Styela clava: one gene and its partner. The protein of the gene in region 2 interacts with the protein of the main gene of each other region in a biochemical or structural test. Links are inferred from orthologs where the notes say so. Each region holds a gene or a part of one and is shown on either strand. Other genes may lie near its edges.

Region 1 (8,248 bases), on a different chromosome or scaffold from region 2:
AGTATGATGCATAACTGCGGACAGTACAGGATCTCTTCTCGTCCAAGACTGAATTGCATCAACTTTAACAAGGGTAGAATCGACTGCTTCAAGAAGATTCACTACATCACCACAAGGCGGTATATAATCCGGTTTAACAGGCAAAGGCAAACGACTTAGTGCATCGCTATTGGCTTGGTTTTTACCTGGAACATACACTAATTCGTATTGATATCCATCAAGTAATACTTTCCAACGGATCATTCTCGGTGGAGCTGCATCAGGAAGTGGCTTATTCTTCCCAAGTAAACCGAGAAGTGGCTTGTGATCAGTTTCCAAAACAAACGGTCTTCCATATAAAAATGAATGGAACTTTGTAACAGCGAATACTAGAGCTAATCCCTCTCTATCCAATTGGCTATAATTACGCTCTGGTTTTGACAAAGATCTGGATGCAAAAGCCACAGGACGTTCTCCTTCCTGCGTTATTACAGATAAAACTGCTCCGATTCCATAAGGACTGGCATCTGCAGAAACAATGACGGCGGCATTTCCGTCAAAATGAGCAAGGCATGGAGCATTACACAATAGCGATTTCGTTTTCTTAAAAGCTTCCACTTGCCTTTTATTCCAGTGCCATCGAACATTCGAACGAAGAAGTTCATACAAAGGAGCAGCAACAGTTGATAAATTTTTAATGAATTTACCATAATAATTAAGCATCCCCAGATATGAGCGCAACTGATGTATATTTTGTGGTTCTGGGGCATCCAGAACAGCTCCCAGATTATCTTCAGTTGGTTGAACTCCAAGTTTATTTATACGATATCCAAGATAAGTAATTTCCGAAACCATCCATTTACATTTGTTTGGATTAATTTTTAGACCTTCATTTGTAAGACGCTTGAAAACTTCTTCCAATCTGGCTATGTGTTCTTTATCAGAAGAACCGGTTACTCCAATATCGTCTTGGAAAACACCTACACCTGCTATGTCACCCAGCAGTGTTTCAAGATATCTCTGGAATATAGCTGGGGCACTTGATATTCCATAAACAAGACGATTTGTCGTGAATAATCCCTTATGTGTATTAACTACTGTGTACTTTTGACTCTCTTCTGCCAATGGTATCTGCAGATATGCCTCTTTCAGATCAATAACAGAGAACTTTTCCCCACCAGCAAATTTAGTCAATAATTCATCCACCTTTGGCAATGGATACTGCTCGAGACGACTTGCTTTATTTACAGTCAAGTCATAACTTCCACAGAGCCGAACTGACTTCTGATCAGCTTTTAATACGGTAACCATAGGTGCAGCCCAATCGGATGTTTTACATGGCTTCAAAACACCGATTTCAACTTGTCTATCAAGTTCAGCTTCGACCAATTCTTTGAGTGCAAGAGGTACAGGTCGTGGTTTATAAAATTTAGGCTTAACGCTGTCATCAATCTCCAATTTAGCTTCAGTTTTTGCACAACCTAATCCAGGTGAAGACAATTCAGGATACTTATCAAGCAGTGTACTGATTTTAACATCAGAATAGTTAATTTTGAAAATTGAATTCCAATCAAGTTTGATATGTTTCAACCAATTTCTCCCCAGCAATGGTTTACAGCGGTTACTATTTCTTACCACAGTGATTGGCAATACCATTGGGTTACCATTTTGATACGTTACAGTAACATCCCTTTCTCCCTCTACTGGAATAGACTCCCCCGTGTATGTAGACAGTTTAACATCGGTGTGGTTCAATTCTGCTTTTGGCCACAACTTTTTATATTGCACTAAAGACATGACAGATAGTGTAGCCCCTGTATCTACTTCCCAAGAAATGTTTTTGCCATCGATGTCAAGATCAAGATAGATTGGATTGCATTTCACACCCACATTGTTATTTTGCACGGACGACACTGTATGATGTAATTCGTATGATGAACCAGAGTTTTCATTCGTTTCACTTTCGCCCGGCGTATTCTTATCATCAGCGATACAACATTGAGAATTACATTGTTTACTTCTCTGGCCGTGTCTATACTGACTTGATTTCTTGAATCGACACACACTCTTGGTATGGCCCTTTTTACCACAACTAAAACACTTGGCATCTTTAAATGGACATTCATGGGCAAAGTGCTTAGAACTATCGCAACGAAAACATCTAAGAGACTTACCCCCTCTAGCCGAAGAAAGCTGTGGTGCTCTAGGCTTGAATTTGCTATCGGAATTCTTTTCACGCTGCACATCAATTTCATATAATTTCTCTGGTCTCGTGTGACGTTGTTCAATTTGTTTTGTTTGTTGCTTTGCTTGTTCTAGACTTTTTGCATAATCCAGAAGTTCTCGAAGAGACATACGCTGCTGTAGAGCTTTTTCCCTAACTCTAGAATCACATCCACCAGAAATAACCTGCTGTTTTATTTCACGATCAGCATCCGTAAAATCACAGGTAACAGCTAATTTACGCAAACGTGCCACATAAGTATCAATATTTTCGCCAAATTTCTGTTTTGCATTCCTGAAAACATCACATTCAAAATCAATGTTTATCTTTGGCACGAAATAATTATCCAATTTCTTAACGGTGTTGGCATAAACATTATCATTTTCATCTGCATTCGGCGGTGCGGGCAAATTCTCATGCAGGTCAAAAACTTCAGGTCCCGCAAAATGTAATAATAACGCCTTCTTTCTCTCTGCGTTGTCAACCGACATGGCGAGGCACATGTTTTCAAATCGTCGCAGCCATTGTTGCCATTCGTCTGGGCGATTAATGTTGAATTGCGCAACTTCCAATGATGCTGACGTCATTATTCTGTTAACAGTTGCAATCGTGCTTCAACGATGCTCAAATAATTTACTGCCGTTTAATTCAATATAATAACAGGCCTTGGGTTCCCAGTCCAGTGAATGCTGTTCACTATGAATATCCAAAGTCACTGATTATGCTGCAATATTCAGTTCTAACTCCGTCGCAGTCCAGCGACTGTTCTCTTATCTACCCTCGAAATTAAGCTGTAACTTCGATATATTTTTCTTCCTTCCTTCCCCAAGAAATGGCTACAAAACGGCACAAAAAGGCTTTTTAATCCTCGTCGCCAATTTGTTATATCTTTATAACAAGTAATGAATACAGACTCATTACAAAACTGCACGCTATTTATTTGGACATCCGTCCGTCAACTTAGTTCAGAACAAAAGACCTCTAAACAGAGGAAAAACAACTTACGGCACTAGACAGCATTGTGACGTAACAATATAGCACACAAGCAGATAGAGTAGTAAACAAGCTATGATAGTAAGCTCAACATAATATATAACACCGATAACCTTAAAAATCTTTGAGTTTTTGAGCAAGAATTTCCAGAATTTCCAGAATAAAAATCGTGTTCCCATGATTAAATGATAATAGTCAGTCAGTCAGTCAGTGGTTTATTTTATCACATACCAAAAGTACACAATAGACAAAAATAACTACGAATCCCATATAAAACAATACTTTCAGTGTGAAGGGAGGCGCGATAAACCAGTAGAGGTTATCGAGCAGCGTCATCCTGGGGGAGTGAGTCTAAAAATTAAATCAAAGTGAGATAAAAGTCAAACAGGATACTAGCAAAAGTCGTGAATAATAAATAAAATAATTAATAAATAGCGAAATTTTTGATGAAAATAGCAAATCTCATAGGATTCACAAAAAGTTTGACGGCGGTGTGGCGCATCGTGCTAAGCGTTGGGAATACGCTCGTCGCCGCACCCCTGATTACCCTTCGTGGGATCGCAGGTTCGAATCCCATGCGGGGATGATAATGTGCGAGAGGATTGCTGGACTCCTCGCCGCCGTAGGGTGGTTCACGTAACCGCTGGACGGTTACGCCTTACTCCACCATCAAGTTCATGCTTCCGAAAACAAACAACTGGCTAACTAATTCCATATCCGACATGGACTGGTAACCGGACGAGAGGCCGTGGTTCGCCATATGATTTAGTCGTCTTATCGGTTTTCCTCTCCCCCGGGATAAATATGTAAATCCTATCCTATCCCAAAAGTAATAGTCTTCTGGAGAAAAATTCCATCTTAAACCACTGAAAATTTCAATGCAATTGGTCCAGTATAGGATAGGATTTACATATTTATCCCGGGAGAGAGGAAAGCCAATAAGACGGTTTATCCATATGGCGAACCACGGCCTCTCGTCCGGTTACCATTCCGGGTATGGGATCGGGTATGGGATTAGTTATATTGTTTGTTTTTTCGGAAGCATGGACTTGGTGGTGGAGGAAGCCGTAACCGACCAGCGGTTACGTGAACCACCCAACGACGGCAGGGAGTCCAGTAATCCTCTCGCACATAACCATCCCTGCGTGGGATTCGAACCTGCGAATCCACGCAGAGTAATTAGAGGTGCGGTGGCGAGCGTATTCCTTACGCTTAGCCCGTTGAGCCACACCGCCGCGCCAGAAAAGCGATATTTTAATGATAATGATGACGAATAACAATAACAACAACATAATATTAAAACGATCGTTATGTCCACTAATGTGTCCAATTATTGCCAGATGAAACTGGTTGATGGTCAGAAAAAAACATTTGACCATATGGCAAATTTATATTCATGAACATCTGCTTCACCTTGCGCTTGGAAAAGGTAACTTATCCATTCACTGGATGGCGCCGTATGTCAACAAAACCTGAACAGGACGATTTGCCTGCCTTTTCACGGTCCCGTCTGTAGGTTTGTATGCGTTAATTATCAAGTTTTTTTACCCGATTAAATCGGCCAACTGGCCATTGCTTCAATCAATTATGTTGGTTCAGAATATGGATTGGATCTAGAATTATGCTTTATCGGTACAATATCCAATGCTTTTGAAAGAATATTCCTAGAAATATGACTAAAAAGCCAGCATGTTGATGTTTTAAAAATATTGTATTTTAAACAGGCGTCAAAGATGGGGAAGTTTATGAAACCCAACAAGGTGGTGATTGTCCTTCAAGGGAGGTACGCTGGCAGAAAAGCCATCATTGTAAAGGTATTTATCCCAACTTATAATTGTATTATTCAAGTTTCTGCATACAACTTTGTGAGTCATAGAACTAATTTGCCCCAATGGTCTGGTCTGGTCTGGTACCGTATAGTTTCGTACCTGAAGTACTTCTAGTTGGCCTGGCTTAGCAGTTTTTGCATATGTCATTTCTAACCCTGTAACCCCAACCTGACTGCGTCACCAAAAATCATTGTAGTGGCGTAATAAGGCCCTCCTAAAGTATATTGATGTTCATCAAAAGCGCGCAGACGATTACGAGCAAGCTATATTTCTTGCCGTAGCGATCCGGATATGAGGGAGATCGCTGGCGTTAGTAAGGCGCAGATGCCATTTCGGGCGATTGTAGATAAACTTAGTCAAGTTCTATGACATGATTGTTACGTCCGTACGTTGTAGTGATGTAATTTTTGGATGATGGAGTCAGATAGGGATTAGAAATGACTTACGCAAAATTCGTTAGTAAAATAGTATTTCAGTACGGCACACTTTACAGATCGAGAGACATTCTCTCGCTTTAGAGAAACCTATTTTAACGGTGATCGAATACCCCTCCTTCGATGGACGTCTGGCGGATTTTGTCTCCCGATATCGATAAATTGAAGCTGCGCAGTAAACTAACAAAAAGCGCAATCTAAAACCATCACCATTGAATTCCTCGTGAAAAAACAATCAGATCTACCGATGTAAAAAAAATTTTACCGGTGCGTTCGAGAGAAATGAGCAAAAAAACGATTGACGGCGTGTGACGTCACTGAATTTCAATCGACGCACGCAGGCACGCATCGACCGTTCCTCGACGTAAACCTTGGCGTGCCGTGTTTCTCTCATTTTCAATGTAGATAGGATGGCGTGTTAACGATAATAAATGGATCAGAGATAATAAAAATTACATTTTGATAACACACAATCGATAAACAGTAAAATTAATGCCTCGATATAGCATTAGATAAATTAGTTCATAAAGCAATAATTTAATCTAATGCCGCAACCAGACATTCATATGCCGCAAAATGTGCAACTTGCGTAATTTATACAAGAATAGATCGGCGAAAAACGAGAATCAAATTAGCAAAATAACTTAATATAATGCCACATCGATGTATTCAAATGCCGCAAATGTTCAGTTTGCATAATTTATACTAGTAGAAATCGGTAAAAAACAAGATTCAAAATAATATAATGTCCCATCGATACATTCATATGCCGCAAATGTTTAACTTCGAAAGCTACGGTATACGAGAATAATTTAATTCAATGCCACATCGAGGCATTCATATGCCACAAATGTTAATTTATACGAAAATAATTTAATTCATATGCCGCAAATGATCAACTTGCGTAATTTACACAATAATAGATCGGCAAGAAACAAGAATCAAATTAGCAAAATAATGTAATATCATGCCGCATCGATGTATTCATATGCAGCAATTGTTCAATTTGCGTAATTTATACTAGTATAGATCGATGAAAAACAAGATTCAAACTAATATAATGCGGCATCGATACATTCATATGTCGCGAATGTTTAACTTCGAAGTATACGGAATACGAGAATATTTTAATTCAATGCCACGTCGAGGCAATCATATACTGCAAATGTTAATTTGCGTGATTTATGCAAGAATAGATAGGTGAAAAACAAGAATCAAATTAATATAATGCCGCATTGATGCATTCGTATGCCGCAAATGATCAACTTGCGTAGTCTGTGAAAAACAAGAATCAAATTGGCAAAATAGTTTAATCCAATTAATCATCGAGGCTTTTATTTTACTATGGATTGTTGACGCTCAAATTTAAATAAAAATCTCGAATATAATTATTAAATGATATCGTAATTCGTAATCGTTGTGCGTTCTGGAAGTTTCAGTTCTAAATAACCGAAGATGCTATGTTAAATTGTTGTAATTACATGTATTAACGGGCATACAAAGTTTCACTATCGATATTAATTTAACTATTGAAAAAAAAACTTCGATATCGTGCATCTTTTTGACTTCGTTATACGACAATTCAAACAATGTCATGTAGTCACAAACACTTATAATAAAATTAGTTGGACTCGTAGACGTATTACTCGAAACGCATAATTTTATAATCTCTTGATATTATTTAAAAGTAATTATTTTATTCACAGACGTTTGCATTTACGCGACATTATTTTAATTAGGCACTACCAACAGTAGACTGAATATAATGATTCAGAAATACATCGTATATCTAACCATATAGGTCAGTATACATCGGTAAAAAACGAAAATCAAATTAGCAAAATTCGAGAGCCGTGCCGAACTGTCGATCTGTGCGTGACTTTCTTTGACGTCATATCCAGACATCTGACGCTCTCACGCATCGAGCTCGCAGACGACTCGACGCCCCCGGTTTCACAGACGCCTATTCATATTTTGGCTCTTCCGGAATGTAGACGCAAATCCGGATTCGGGATAGTGTGCCGTACTGTATTCGGAAGTACTTGTGATTCTAAACTATACCAGATTCCAGTAGTATTATGTTTCAGGCTGTTTGGAATGCCCATCTAAAGACCCGTTCAAGCAGGGAAAACGCTACATTGTCATTGGGTGTTTCAACCATAATAAGAATAAATCTAATACTATATTGCACTAGTCTATGGTATGAATGGACAGTGAAAAAGGGTTTGTAAGATGCTAGTGTGCAAATGTGTGGGGTCTAATGTAGTTTCGTACCTCCAGTACTTCTAATTGGTCGTAGCATAACAATGTTTGCATGTCAGCATATGTCAATCACAACCCTCCCCTGACTACGCAATCCAAAAATTTCATCACAGTGACGTAAGAAGACCCTCCAAACTACAAACTGTCAGCCAAGACGCGCAGACGATCACCCAAATCGAGCAAGCAGTTTTTCTCGTCACGGCGATTCCAAAATCGTTGGCGTTGATGCCATTTCGGGCGATCGTAGGTGTACTTTGACAAGATCTATGACGTCATTGTTGGGTGGTGTAGTCAGGTGGGGATTAGGATTGACATGTGCAAAAATCGTTTTGCTACGCCCACTTGAGGTACGAAACTACACAAGACCCAAATGAAAAGGAACGTCATTTCTACTGTGACAGGAAAGACAATTAAAGAATTGAGATATCGTATCATGTTTAATGTGTTTTCCTGCTTTAAATTAATGTTTTCATGTTTAGAATCAAGACGATGGCACAAGTGACCGTACATATGGACATGCTCTCGTA
Region 2 (7,806 bases):
AATTCAAATTCAGTAATATGTGAATACTGGAATATCTCGATACTCACTGTATATATTTGTATATTGTACTCTAGTACTTAGATGAAATACAATGGAAGAGATAAAATGAATGTAAACACATAGTGAAAAGTGGTGTCGTAAATCTGTAGTGGACCTCAGAGACCGAACCAGCTGCTTGACCACAAGCAGCCAAGGTTCAAAAAAACATTCCTGCAAGCTTCCGATTCCAAGATGTTTCGACATTTGCCTCAATAAAACAAACATGCTATTTTTCTCTGATCACGCCAAGCTAGTCATGGTAATAATTTAAATTAATTGTGATGTGCGTCGGCCGTCATATGACCAAAATTGCGTTTATTTGCTAAAAACTCTCAAATGCTATGAAATATGGCAAAATTTCTTTTTCTACTGTAAATCGGATTATTATTTTCAGAGGAATCCAATGGTGATGTTTTAGATTGCGTTTCCTTTTAGTTCATGACTTGTCCCAGTTTGCCAATATGGAGGCTCAGACTGTATTGTAATGGGAGGGTTTGCACTCCACTGTTATATTTGATGTATTTTAACGTCGGGGCTATTCTTGGAATCAGAGAACTGTAACATACTGTTTTAATCAAATCATTAATCAAATAATCTGGAATGATAAACCAGAATGCTATGTCGATCCCATACCTGACCAGGCATTGGTATAATTATGATGAGATGTTGTGGTTGGCCTTATTTTTAAGTAATAATGAATGCACTAATTCGATATAAAAAACTGAGCATATTTGATTGAAGATGATTTCGAGATTGAAAAGTGGAAAATGGAAAATATCAAGTTCTTGTATTGTGCTCTTGTTAAGGGTATAGAAGTCCTATCAGTAGTATTTAGATAGTTATTCCTTGAAGAAATATTTAAAAAGAAATTATGAATATTTTTATTTAGTTTAGTTCCAGTTATTTATTTTATAGCAAGTGAATATTTACATTTGGATTATTTCGAGTAAGGTAAATAAATTGAAAAAAAGCTCGCTGAGGCTGGGTGTGAAGTGGGCGTTTTGAATTTGTAAATAATTTGAGCAAATTGATTCAATTCCTCCATTATCACGAGCAATCAATTTTATTTCTGCGTTATGGTATACAGAGGATGTGTATAACACAAAATAAGAGAATAATCAAAAACTACATTCAACTCATTTGTATCAATGTCTCAATAAACTTGTACTTCTAGCTTAAAAACAAGCTATGATGGCGAAAACCGATTAATATACTATTCTGAATACACTGTATAATATTGGATATTCTAAATTAGTTTATGTTCATCAAATAACACATATAAGTTGATATATAACTTATAAGGAGTGATGTTAAATTTTTTAATACAATTAAGTAAGATGAAAAATTATGTGATTGGTTCTCTCTATTCAAAAATTTATTTTTGCAGCATGATTTCAGTTGCTCTAAATTTCAACTATTCTAAATTTTCCCAATTAAATAATAACGAATACAATCAATTCCAAATAGATTCTAGTATTACTTAATTTCAGATATTCTCTGTAATAAGTATTTTTTGAAAAAATTTTTTGTCATTTTTTACGATCGATTCAAGCTGAGTATTCGATTCATCTTATCTACTTCTAGTTAAAGTGAGCAAATAAATACACTGTGATTACTTGCAAAAACTAGGTAATTCAAATCATCAATGAGGATCTTTCAGCAGCTGTGTTGGGAATAAACAGCTTGGAAATTAGATTATTTTTTGATAAGGCATTATAGCTATGCACAATTCATAACTTTTGTTATTTATTAGGAGTGCAACAATGGAAGCTTTCTATTATGACATTCACAAGAGATTTGGTTTTTATATCAAAGATCATTAAAAACGTACTGCATAATCAAGTTTAGTCAAATACACCCTATTTACCTTTTGGTTATAGAAACTAAGGTTATTTATATTACATGTGATGTATCGATATAATATTTTTGTTAATCGTTTTTCACTTTTGTAAGAAAGGTCGTTCATTCTTTCTATAGAAATAAACTGTCATGCGATGGCATGTCTATTTAAATACTCAATTATTGATCTATGACGTTATTCATTGATACATATGTAATGGTTGTATATCTACATTTAATACTCCATGGTTGTTTTATAAATAGGATATTTCTGAATACGCAATTTTGTTGTGTGGATGCCAAGCCATTGGAGGAATTTTGTCTGAACGAATTTCAATTCTTGATATTTTGATGCTTTTTGAAGAATTTCAAATTGTGAAATTGGGGATTTTTATTTTTATCACCCCCTGTGCAACAGAATCATGATTTATGACAAATTGTATGAAGGATGGTTTGATTCAGGAGAAATGAATTTGCAGTATATGCTATTTGAATGAAGTACCCGTATGTGGTGATATATGATAATCTTGATTATCTTATGGGTTATTATCAGTATTTGAATTTTATAATTTTGTAGTAATCAATGTTTCATACCGAATACTTAAAGTGATAATTTTATAGTTATATAGCATATACCTGCTTTAAAATTTATATTATACCATTGCTTTATAATGTGATGTATTCAAAATCGATATTATGCTTATAAATCCATTTGGAAAGATGATAGGATTATAGCATGTTGCTTGAAAGTAAATTGGATTCCATAGTATGTTAATTTGTTCTTGGTGAGAAAATAGAAAACTCCTAGGATAGTTAATAGTCATTCCCACTTGGGCTGATAATTTTAGTTAATATTCTTTGTTCTCTTATCAAACAAAATTGACTGGTTATCCATTGTTGCTTTAAATCAAATAAAACATCTCCAGTTTAGCTTTTCCTTGGTGTTTAACAATTAGGATTGGTATTCTTTTCAAATTGAAGGCCACAGAGGATAAAGTCTAGCGATTTTTTGAAGTGAATGTATATTAAACTGTCATAATTCGTTGTAACTAACTATCAGAGATCAGTTAAATAAAAAATACCTGGTTGACCGTGCCCATACCTATTACCAACACTTAGGTTAGAGGTAGGGATGGTTATATGGTTCCAATCACCATTCGAATGGCCTCCCTCTCCCGTAGAGAGCATATTGGGCTGCCACTTTGACAGCAGGTTAGATCTTAAGGACAGTTATGCATCTATCGGTTCTATGACTTAAGTGAACATTTTAAACATGTGTAGTTAAACTAGTGTGGCTAAGTAATAGACTTAGCAAGAATATACATCCAAGTCTATTTATTGTCACTTGACTGACATAATCTATATATATATGTATGTGAATATTTATGCATATTATCGGACAAGGTTCCTTCTCGAATATGTGAAATATTATGCAACCAGTCATAGTGTGGGTTGCATGAGGTCATAGAGTTCATTGAACCAAATAAAGTAAATCATACTGATCTATGCTGTAGTGTCACAGTGTTAATTTTTTACTGCAAATACTTAATTATACCAACAGAGAGAGATAGAACAAGGAAGTAAATTTAGGAGGCTATAAATACCTGTTATAAAGCATTGTACATCAGGGTGCGTCCAGTGGATTGCTTTTAAAAAAAATGATATGGAACGATATTGTCTTTTAAAATAGCAATTATATTTGAACGTTTAAAACCGAGCTAATGATGAATGTAATTTGATCATTTATACATTGCGTGGTATCAGGTTTGTTATTTCAATTTCTGAAAAGTACAAATTTGACTGATGGCAGTGTAGAAATGTAAAAGTCTTGATTTTTTCAATTTGTTTAAGTTTTTAATACATAATTGAATACTTTTTAGTGTGGTTTTTAATTTTTATCCTATTTCTGAAATTACATGTAATTTCACACAGGGTCTTGCAAATATGGTAGCAATTGTAATCTACCACTAATAATCAGTGAAGTGTGACTGGCGAGATAATCTAAAACGAAAGTTTCAATGCTGTCAATGTCATGCTTCAATAATTTTTTGTCTATTATGAACTTCGTATATACCAAAGACGCAAAGTAGATTCATTTTCAATTTCATATCCACGACGAAATTAGGTTAACTATGAATTTTATTGGAATAAGAATTTAAAAATTTATAAAAAAAAGTGAATGGAATGATTTTGATTCGTCTAATCTAATGGTATGTATAAAGTTTATATTTCTGTTGGATCCAAATTTTGTTATAAATTGATTCTTGATATATCTTGACCAGGTTTGTTTTATTTAAATAGTTTTTTTTACTACATTTAATACACATATAAATAATATACTCACCGTTAATTGAACAAAGCACCTTAAAGTCCTTTTATCTAATTTCATTTATGACTCTTTGAGCACCCTGTATAACTAATTCAAGTTTTCATGTTTTTTTCTCTATTTTATTGTCACAGTGTAATAGATAGTTATTAATAAAAGGATTGTTAATAGAAATACCGTAGTAATTTTAACTCAGGAATTATACCTTATCGGATAACCGTGGATATTATTCAGCATCAGGATGGCAAACACAATAAAATCTATGGTCAGTAAGAAGAAACGAAGATATAAGGAAGGAGGATTCGATCTGGATCTCACATGTAAGTTGATAGATTTCATATTCGAATATAGGCCAAATCTGATGATAACGTGCCAAAAAAATTATGCATGTAATATACCAAGTTATTTATATCAAATTTGCATGACTAATTCATTTCAGTATTTTATGGAGCATAAGATACGCTTTGAATATTTCGTTCCGTCAAAAATAAATTGTCAAGCTGGAACGCCTCGTGTTTGAATCAGGTAGTTCCTTATAGCCTACACTCAAAACCAGTAACACCCAATGCACCTTTCGTATGAATAAAAACCCAATCTAAGCAATTTATTGACAGTGCGCCTTATGATATGGTAGTTTTATTTTTAAATATTCTGATAGCCTTTAAAGAGATGATGAAAACTGCTATTGCTAAAGTTTCTAAGGTAAAACAAAAAGAATCTCCAATACATATATATAGCAAGGGCTAGGAATTATTTAGTTGCTGTGTGCCATGCTTTACTCTGTCACATTGGGAATCTTTGCTAAAACCAAAAATACTGTAATTGTCAGCATTCAGTGTAGCAGTGAAATTGTTACATACAGATACAGGTATATGCAAAAATATGGGTTGTACTAAATTTTTAATATGAATTCAAGAAGAGTATTTTGGTTTATTATCAAAATAATGACTGTCCTGTCAGTGTTGGCAAACTAAATTATATTTTTATTTCCTATATTTGGGAATGTAGAGAGAGTAGGATTACCAGGTAGCAGTGAACGATTATGGTATTGCACATAAAATGTATTTTTTTAATATTGATCATTGTTTGAATATTTTTCAATAATGTTTTCAGCAGATGTTTAAAACTTTCACTTTCATTATCACATTTGAGATTTGATGGTAACTTTATTACGGTAGATATAATGTCTTGAATGTGTTGAATCATAAATGCTATATAACAGCACAATAATGCTTACGAAATGACTGCAGAACAAAAATTATAAGCAAGATGATTTTTGACTCGGTTCTTTCATGAAGTCTAAATTAAGCAAAATAAAATCTCAAATTCCACTGAACTAAAGCCGTAGGGTCAATATATTATGTCCCTGATATGATAGACTGATATACTGGTTCATAGTATTCAAGTTAAGGCATTCGGAAAACTGGCAGAAAAATTACTATGTTTTTTTTTTGTTCTCATTCAGATATCTGTCCAAATATTCTTGCGATGGGATTCCCAGCAGAAAGAGTTGAAGGATTGTACAGGAATAATATTGATGATGTAGTCAAGTAAGTAACATTTGAAAAACGAAATTCGGTTTAATTCATTGATTGATTGCAGAAGAAAAAGACTGATTTTCAAATTTTTATGAGTCCCGGTATATATATATTGGCTGATTTTTGCATGACATTGTATGTTGTGTTGCAAAAAATTTAAAACTTGATTGTTATTTGAGCTCAATTTTGTTATGGACATGCAGCCATGTGGTTGCAGTATTGCCTTGAAAATTAGAATTTCCAATCCTTTTTTGGGCCATTATGAAGCAGTAGCTGGGGATAAGTTTGCTTTGATGTTACATTTATCAACGGTGTATGCTTATTATCAACCTGATATAATGAACTCCATTGGTATGGTACAACTGATATTTTTGAAATTTTTATGCTTTTTCTTGAAATTTATGCTTTTTTTACAAATTATTCTGTCAATTTTAATCTGAAGTTTGTTTAGTGAGTGATTAACATTAAAATGAAATATATAGCTACTTTCATTATTAATAAGAGGTGAATAAATGTACATACCAAAAAATCAACCATGAAATTCATTCATACATGAGTAGCTTTAAACTTAGGATCATAAGAAATAATCTGAAGACTTAATGTGTAGATGTAAATCATCATATTCTAATATGAGAAGTGAAAAACTGTGTTGTATTTTACTCTGTAATATCGTTCTTTGTTTTTTTTCAGATTTCTTGAGTCGAAGCATCCCGGCCACTATAAAGTTTATAATTTGTAAGTACATTTTAATGGTCATAATATATTCACATGTATATATTGTATAAATATCATATTTTTTTTTTATTTACAGATGTTCTGAAAGGACATACGATACTGAAAAGTTTCACAAAAGAGGTAAATCTCTTTAATTGATTTAGATAGCTTTTTAAAAAAAATTTGGTTTAAAACTATTTTGAAATATTGAATATTCTAAAAATTCACCATGATAAAAATTATTGGAAAAATTCTTCAAGTTGAGAAAGAATTGTTATTGAAATAAAGATGTAAACATAGCTCAATATTTAAATCTTGCAGCCAGTTTTCCTTAATCTTACTTATAAATATTAATTGATTTAGATAGCTTTTAAAAAAATATCGGTTTAAAACTATTTTAAAATATTGAATATCCCAAAAATATACTATGTTGGAAAATTATTGGAAAAATTCAAGTTGCGAAAAATTGTTGTTAAAATAAAGATGTAAACATAGCTCAATATTTAAATTTTGCACCCAATTTTACTGTAATCTCAACAATAAATAGTAGCTGTATTTCTTGTAGAAATGGTGGCCCACTGCATTCATATTCATTCGCCACCTCACCCGAGGCGTAATAAATTGGGTCTGCAATTCCAAACTATAACTCCTTATGTAGCAGTGAGTGATTGTGTAGAGCCTTGTTCAGAGCCAAAGGAGTATAAAAAATACTCAGCTGTTGGTTACAGATATTTGTATCCTAATATTCTTTATTAATAGAGTCTGTTTAAAAAATTTGAAATTGATCTGTGATATTTCAGTCACCAGGATAATTAAAATAGCAATCTTTCAAAATATAAGGAAAGTTTGAAACATTTTAATAGGGTTGGATTTATATAAAATATTGGGTCTTCATTGCAAAAAGACTTGTGAAGTAGCTTGGGTGATTATTAACATTGACGTAACCTATGTTGCAAATTTACATAATCAGCACATTGATTAATATGCACAATCAGTCATTTCCTACTACCGAAAAAATCAATTATTTTTAAGTTATGCAACTCCGTTTGAGGTTGGTCTGTTTATTATTCATTTAGTTGCATTTGAGATTCTGATTCCAATTAATTTAATATTCAATATACACGAGCCCTTTTACAAATAAAACGAAATGAACCTTTTTTTTACAACCCTAGGAAATAGAGCTTCGAAATAGTTCTGAGAAACATTTTTGTATTTCAATCCAATTTGATCAAAACTGTTTCGAATTTTAAGTCATTAACCTATTATATATTTCATAGATTATGATTTCAACTCTAAATTCTCGCCAAGAGATTGTCTAGCCCAGCGCCTCAATCTTTTTTTTTCCCTGGC

Evidence for each region.
Region 1: the proteins of phosphatidylinositol 3,4,5-trisphosphate 3-phosphatase and dual-specificity protein phosphatase PTEN-like (region 2) and large ribosomal subunit protein eL27-like form a complex in vitro, tested with the Homo sapiens proteins (2 studies listed by BioGRID). The link is inferred for Styela clava from reciprocal best matches to the Homo sapiens genes PTEN and RPL27.

What each region holds. Positions count from the first base shown.
Region 1 is NC_135250.1:23,438,008-23,446,255, reverse strand, and holds the start of large ribosomal subunit protein eL27-like, read left to right. Parts: upstream 1-4,652; 5' UTR 4,653-4,712; intron 4,713-4,920; 5' UTR 4,921-4,929; coding exon 4,930-5,010; intron 5,011-8,200; coding exon 8,201-8,248.
Region 2 is NC_135260.1:11,756,016-11,763,821, reverse strand, and holds the start of phosphatidylinositol 3,4,5-trisphosphate 3-phosphatase and dual-specificity protein phosphatase PTEN-like, read left to right. Parts: upstream 1-4,332; 5' UTR 4,333-4,445; coding exon 4,446-4,524; intron 4,525-5,669; coding exon 5,670-5,754; intron 5,755-6,432; coding exon 6,433-6,477; intron 6,478-6,553; coding exon 6,554-6,597; intron 6,598-7,806. UniProt on the Homo sapiens protein: Dual-specificity protein phosphatase, dephosphorylating tyrosine-, serine- and threonine-phosphorylated proteins.